Linked DNA regions of Canis lupus familiaris. The protein of the gene in region 1 purifies or fractionates together with the protein of each later gene. This does not show direct contact. Links are inferred from orthologs where the notes say so. Each region holds a gene or a part of one and is shown in the gene's direction. Other genes may lie near its edges.

The links.
Region 2: the proteins of MTMR2 (region 1) and MTMR12 purify together in Homo sapiens (affinity purification with mass spectrometry; 5 studies listed by BioGRID and IntAct, with this or other methods). This does not show direct contact. The link is inferred for Canis lupus familiaris from reciprocal best matches to the Homo sapiens genes MTMR2 and MTMR12.

The regions. Positions count from the first base shown.
Region 1 is NC_049242.1:5,388,422-5,392,075, forward strand, and holds part of MTMR2 (myotubularin-related protein 2), read left to right. Parts: intron 1-2,167; coding exon 2,168-2,281; intron 2,282-3,654. UniProt on the Homo sapiens protein: Lipid phosphatase that specifically dephosphorylates the D-3 position of phosphatidylinositol 3-phosphate and phosphatidylinositol 3,5-bisphosphate, generating phosphatidylinositol and phosphatidylinositol 5-phosphate.
Region 2 is NC_049225.1:76,094,575-76,098,228, forward strand, and holds part of MTMR12 (myotubularin-related protein 12), read left to right. Parts: intron 1-2,209; coding exon 2,210-2,352; intron 2,353-3,654. UniProt on the Homo sapiens protein: Acts as an adapter for the myotubularin-related phosphatases. Regulates phosphatase MTM1 protein stability and possibly its intracellular location. By stabilizing MTM1 protein levels, required for skeletal muscle maintenance but not for myogenesis.

The DNA.
Region 1 (3,654 bases):
ACTTCTTGGACTAGGTTTGAATTTTTCCTTTGGAATTGCTTTTGAGGTAGTATAGCAGCTCTACAAATCCTTGCCAATCCAGTTTTGGGGGTTTGACCAAAAACAAGAAGACCCACTATTGACCATTCCTGTATTTGATTTTTAAATGTTTGACTCTTGGCAAAAATAAAAAATGCTGTATAAAAAGGCTAGAGAAGCTGTTTGAAATTGACACCACTGATGACTGACTATCCTGTTCTCTGACAGGAATGGTTTCAAGGGGCAACATGTGTGAATGTATTAGTTCATTTCCAACATGTGCCAGTTGTTTGCATAGAAGAGTACATGATAAATATCTTTCTTCCTTATGTTTATTGACAATCATCATTTTTATAAATAATTGAACTTTTGTGCAGACTTAAGTAGCACATTTGTCAAAATGACACCAATTATGTTGTGATTAGCCAGATTCTACTAGTCCCCTACCCTAGCCCCATCCCCATCCCCTCACTAGTCCCCTATCCTCAGCCCCATCCCCATCCCCATCCCCATCCCCATCCCTATCCCCTCACTCCTGGGTCAGGAAGCAGTTGATGTAGGGCCCTTCCGATTTTATCTATCTATCTATCTATCTATCTATCTATCTATCTATCTATCTATCTATTATTTTAAAAAGATTATTTATTTATTTATTCAGAGAGAGATAGAGAGAGGCAGAGACACAGGCAGAGGGAGAAGCAGGCTCCATGCAGAGAGCCCGACGCGGGACTCGATCCTGGGTCTCCAGGATCACAACCCGGGCTGAAGGTGGCACTAAACTGCTGTGCCACCGGGGCTGCCCGCCCTTCTGATTTTAAACACGTGAGGAGAAAATGTTCCTCTTCTGCTCAGAGCAGTTCCTGCTGTGCTACTATCATTTTGTGGAGGACATGTCCACTGTCAAATCTCTCTTCTCTTCTAATGACTGAGCACGTGGTTTTGCCAAAAAGACGAAAAACTAATCACAAGCTTAGCAACTTGGGATGGCTGTTTAATGAGTTAAGAGTACATTCACAGCTGGCTAATGCGGTTATTAAGAGTGTAACAGTACGGGAAACAGGATTTATTTTGTAAATGAATGAATGGTATTTGACCAAATATCTTACAGGTAATTGGCTTTCTGTTGGCATGTGCTGGATCACCTGCTTCAGCTTAGAAACCACAAAAGTTTCGATTCAAGGCAGGCTAGTAACCCTTCATTGTTCGAGAAATACCTTGCTTATAATTTTTGAAAACGTCAAGGCAGAGGTGCTTTCATTCCTATCCCATTTTCATGGCTCAGGCTGTTTTCTTGTACTACTGGGTGTAGGGATCATTCTAAGAAAAACTTGGAACCAATATTTATTCCCCAAATCTGCAATCTAAATATTCACAGTTCATTTTTACAGTCTTAGAATCAGTACAATTTTCATGGAGACTTTCAAATAATTTTTAAGTATTAGATGCATATACTAACCCTTTCCCTTCCTGGGACCTGTCATCCTTCCTTGATAAGTCCCCCACATTGATTGTTTATGTAATATTAAGATATCTAGTCAAGCTCTTGTCCTAGGTTAAAGAGAAAATGATTTTTTGTTTGTTTGTTTGTTTGTTTGTTTGTTACAAGGAGGCTGCCAAAGTACTGGATTATAGGATACTCTGGTTTGACTGCTTGGCTTTTAAATGATCTGCACATCTCCTTGGATCTTTATTTTTGTATGTTGCTGACATTTTCTGGCGGCATTGATATTTTTTGTGTAATTCCTAAAAACAAAACTATGTTGCTGAAAATTTAAAGAAAATCTTCTTATATTGTTTATGGTCATCTTTGGCAAAGAAAAGCTCAGAGTTCCAGAATTTCCAACTTCAAAATTTATCACTCTTCAAGTTTGGGACTAACAGATACAGGAAATACAGAAATACCAAGGTCACACCATTCCAACTCTTGTTGCACAAGAAAAGGATATTTGGGGAGAAATCTCAGAAGAGTGATAGAGTGACTTTCGAGCACAGAATGAAGTGGATGATGCCATTATGGCTTAGAAATAGTTTTGAATATTGTTTAACCCAGTTTTAAGAAGTATAATGAAGGACCTACCCATATATGGGGATGAACATGCTTGGAAAAGTGTCCTAATAATTTTGTGTGTTTGTGGTATTCAATTTGCAGTTTCCTACAGCATTTGAATTCAATGAATATTTTCTCATTACCATTTTGGACCATCTCTACAGCTGCTTATTTGGAACATTTCTGTGTAACAGTGAACATCAGAGAGGAAAAGAGGTAAAATATGTGCTGTGACCCTCCCCCTTCTACTCCCCACATGTGTCATGTTCCCACGAGGGTGCATTCTTAGATAGATTTCAACTGATTGGTTCTTTTGGATAATTTCTTTGGTCAAATTTTATTGCCACATACTGTAGTATGATTACTTCTTTCCACACACCTGAGCCTGATTTGTTTTCAAGTAGCTCTGTTGCGAGGCTGAAGGTGGCAGCTAAATGTCAGGTGAGTTTGTGGGTGAAAAGTAGTGTCTGCTCAAGAGAACTGAGGTATTTGTAATCTTAAGAGCACCAGTGTTATTCGTCAGGCCTTGCAGGATGGAAATCCTTCAAAGCACATGCAGAAAAATGTAGTTAGCAAAACATACACGTATGAATGGACAGTTCAGATCCCCAAATACGTTCTGCATACATAGGAGCCATTTTAATTTTTTTTTTAAATTTTTTTTTAAATTTATTTATGATAGTCACACAGAGAGAGAGAGAGAGGCAGAGACACAGGCAGAGGGAGAAGCAGGCTCCATGCACCGGGAGCCCGACGTGGGATTCGATCCCGGGTCTCCAGGATCGCGCCCTGGGCCAAAGGCAGGCGCCAAACCGCTGCGCCACCCAGGGATCCCCTTAATTTTTTTTTTTAATTTGTAAAATAATACGGTAAAACATCCAAACATTAACAAGACACTATGTAGAAAGTTACCATTTCCTTGCTTCACCAGTGAGATCATTGGTAAGTGGTTGGTATTATTTAAAAGAAACTTCTAAGGATTACATTTCAAGTTTTACTTCTGACCTCAAAGTATCTCTATCCTATATGTATGAAATTCCAAGTCATCTTGATTTGGTGTCTCCCTCTGCATCAGTTTTCATTCTGAAAATGTGATTATCAACTACTTTATTCTTGCTATTCTGTTAAAGCATTATGGGAGGGAGTGGAGCCAGGCTGCCCTGGTTGAAATCTTGGATCTATCTCTTCTTGTGTAACCTTAGGCAAGTTCATTCCTGCTTCGGTAAATTAGGAAAAATAGTACTTACTATTGTGTGGTTAAATAAAACACTAAGGTAACTGCCATGTAGTAGACTGTAAGTTCCTTGAAGGCAGGTATTAAAACATTTTATTTTAAAAGATTGTATCTAGTTAAGCACAGGAGAGGTGGGGAGGGGCAGAGGGAGAAGCAGACTCCCCACTGAGCAGAGAGCCTGACATGGGGCTGATCCCAGGACCCTGAGATCTTGACCTGAGCTGAAGGCAGACTCTTCAGGCGTCTCCAAGCCACCCAAGCGTCCCTTAAAAATGTTAATATACTGTATCTCCAGTGGCTAGCATGCAGTCAGTATTCCTATGCATAGGAGGCATTTAAGAACTTACTGAATGTT
Region 2 (3,654 bases), on another chromosome or scaffold:
GCCCAGGTGTAGCTGCCCTGGACTAGCGCAGCTGCTTAGGCCTCCCCAGGCAAGCTTTGGTGGGTGGCCTCACCTGTGGTCTCTGCTTACATATCTGAGCGTGTAAGTGCCAGGCAGCCTTGGGGTTTACTAACCCTGAGCCTGCAGGGGCTTTATTCTGACATCATCACTAAGAGTCTGAATTGGTTAGTTATTTTTGAGATGGAAGAGAGACTCTGTACCTGAGGTTAAGCTTTAATCATTTGTGAATTCAGAAACGGAAACTACTTGATGGTTGTATCCCCTTAAATGCGTGCGGGCTCTCCTGGGGCTGTGCATTCAGTTCTTCTTCCATTTTCTTTTTTCTAATCCAAGTAGCTTTTTTTGTCAGTTTTTTAAGGTATATTTCCCTAAACCAATAAAGGTCTCATTTTGGTACTTTTTTTTATCTTATTCCAGTTTGTTGAGAGAATATGAATATGTACAAGTTACTGACTGATCCACCTTTGGTAAATATATTGGGATCCTGGAATTAAAAAAAAATATTTCTAAGTTTCAGAGGGTTTTTTGTTTTTTGTTTTTTGTTTTGTTTGTTTGCTTGTTTTACAATAATGACTTAAACCTTAATTCATATACCACATTGTCCTTCCTTTTCTTGGGTCATAGATCCTGAAACTAACTTTCATTTTAGTGTTACCTTCTCCCATTCTCTGTATTACCTGAGGACTCTTCTAGTTGTGCAGCCTCCATTTCCCAGACTAGAGCATGATCTTTTCCAGCTTCTGCCTTCCATGATTCAAGACTCTGCACATGTGAGCTGATAGCTATGGTGCAGCACGTCGAGCTTGCAGAGCCTCACGGGATGTTGTATTAGCCAATGCGTTCCGGTGTCTCTAGTTGCCAGTGCATGGCCACGGACTGACATGGCTTGCTTGGGCTTAGGGAGATACTCACTATTAAAAGCTGTTTCACATTAGGAGTTGAAAGCACGGGAAGTCTTGTTCACATATCTTCTATCTTGAACTAGTTGAGGCACTTTTTCTGGAACTATTTTAAACCCTAATGAGGCCCCAATTCATTGTTTTCTTCAAGCTCTGTGGTCCCTCTGGAAGCTGCCCTGGTGACTGAGCCACCTCCCATATTTCCTGAGTAATTAACTCCTTGGGAGATGGAAACATATACCATGAGAGGCATCCCTTCATAGTCTCAGTGTCTGACACTCTTCTTTATTTTCATTTTAAAAGTTAGACCAAGTGAATTTTGAGTCCAAAAATAAATTGAAAGACATTGAAGATAATATCCAGAGGGATTCTGAGGGGAGATAGTTGTCTGTTGAAAGAGAAGAAAATTCTTTTTCTTTTTTGTTACAAAACATTTGCACTTGATTTTTTATTTCTTCCCTACCCATCTCCTGCTCTCATCCAAATGTCCAGCCCTCATGAACTTCTCTGCTTCCAGGGAGCAGTGAATGCTTACTTATCCTGAAATCCTCATCTCTACTGTAAAGAGAAGAAGTCCCCTCTAACTCCAGGAAATAGAGCTGCTCGTGTAGGCTGGGCACCTCAGATGGAGCAGGAAAGGTGACACACTGAGAGGAAATAGCCTCCAACTAAGAAAGAGAGGAAACCATTTTTTTCCGACAAACCTCTGACCTCCCTTTTCCTCCCATCCTTGTCTGTGGAGCCAGAGTGCATGTGGTCTTGCTGCACCTCTTATGTGAGGAAGCTGCCTATGAGCCCTGTGGCTGGGGAACCACCCTGCTTTCTCTTAGCAGTTCCAGAGTGAGAGATGATGGTCCACTCTCACCACAACTCAGGCTGGAGCTCCATATTCTAGAGCCTTGCTCATTTCATTCATTTAGGGGATCACTTCTGTGGAACGCCTGCTTGGGCCCAAGTGACAGGAACACTGAGGTCTGCACTTGCAAGCATCGCTGAGATCATTTCCACGTATTGGAAATGTTCCTTATTCACAGTGAGAAGATAGGGAAGTGCGCTATGTGGAGGTGTAGCTGAGCCATTTTGGTTTTACTTATCAGTGGTCTCTACTCTGCTTCATCTTCGTTCCTGGCATTTGCAGCTCCTGCTGTGCTGCCAAGTGTGGAGTTCTGAAGGGCTGCCATATATCATGTGTTTGTCTTTACCGTGCATAGAGCTGGGGAAGCCTTTAGTGTTTGCATACTGTGTATTCCCTGAGGACTCTAATGAGGACTTGTTTTGGTTTCCATCAGGTGAACAGCTGCTTTGTGAAGCCAGTACAGTGCTGAAGTATGTCCAGGAGGATTCCTGTCAGCGTGGGATCTATGGGAAACTTGTGTGCACAGACTTCAAGATTGCCTTCTTGGGCGATGATGAATCTGCGTTGGATAATGATGTGTGTGCGAGCTGTATTTGGCTGAGTTGGGGGGAGCAGTGCAGTTGTGTCTCCATCATCTTTTTCCTCAGCTCTGCAATTACTCTAACTCCCTCCCCACCCCCAACACACATTAAACACAAAGGACAGAAGTCCTCACTGTTATATTGTTCTCTATCCCTTGGGATCTCTCTTCAGGGGTAGGACCACTCTAAAATTTCCCTCCAGTGCCTCAAGTCACGCTGGCTTGCATCTGCCTTCAGAGGTTGACACTGTCAACTTCTTGTTTTTTTTTTTCTGTATTTCATCACAGTAGGTAGCATTCACTGGAATCACATCTCCCCAAATATACAAGTTCCCTGTGTTTCCTGCCCCTCAAATTCAGGAACTGAGTTCAGTTGTGAAACTTATGCTGAATGCAGCACTTGAATTTGGGTTTACTTTGCCCTGAGTAGCGGTGTCCTTGTAAGACTTATCTCGACTTGCGGAGAATGGGCAGCGGGACGAGGGAGAAGACTGCCTGCACCACTCAGGGAGCGCTGTATGTTGATGCAAACCCAGCTGTCCCGGCCCATCCTTGCTGCCTTGGAGCGTGGCCTTCTCTGGCGTGGATCCGCTCTCATGGCTTGGCTCCGTGTCCTGTACACATAAGGACAGCATTCACAGAAACTTGAATCTTTCAGTGTTTTCTTCCTAAGCCTGGCTTCATGTAGCTGTCATTCACTAGTTTGCATTTATGTAGAGAAATCTTAACCTCTCAAAATGATTGTGTGTGGCATGGCTGGTTCACCTGGGACCAGCCCAGGAATGGCAAGTCATGCCTGGGTTTGGAAAAAAGTGCTTACCAGCTTTCCTTGCACACTTCATCTTCCCTTTCCTAGAGAATGTGGCTCCATTTCCCTGTTTGTTTTTTAGAGTGTACACTCAATTTTTTCCCCAGTTTTTTTAAGATATCATTAACATATAATGTATTATTTTAAGGAGTATAACATAATGATTTGATACATGTGTATATATTGCATAATGAATACTGGAATAAGTTTAGTTAACATCTGTTATGTCATATAGTTACCAATTTGTTTTCCTTATGATGAGATCTTTCTTAGCAACTTTCAAGTATATAATACAGTATTGTTAACTATAATCACCAGGCTGTATGTTACATCCCATGATTTGTTCATCAGTTTATACCTTTTGACCACCTTCACCCATTTCTTTCTCCCCATCTCTGTTTTTCTTAATGTGCAATTGGAAAATGGCGATTTGTTCTGCCTATAAATGTTTAATAGGGCATAGAAAGGAGTCACAGTTGTTTCCTTTTGA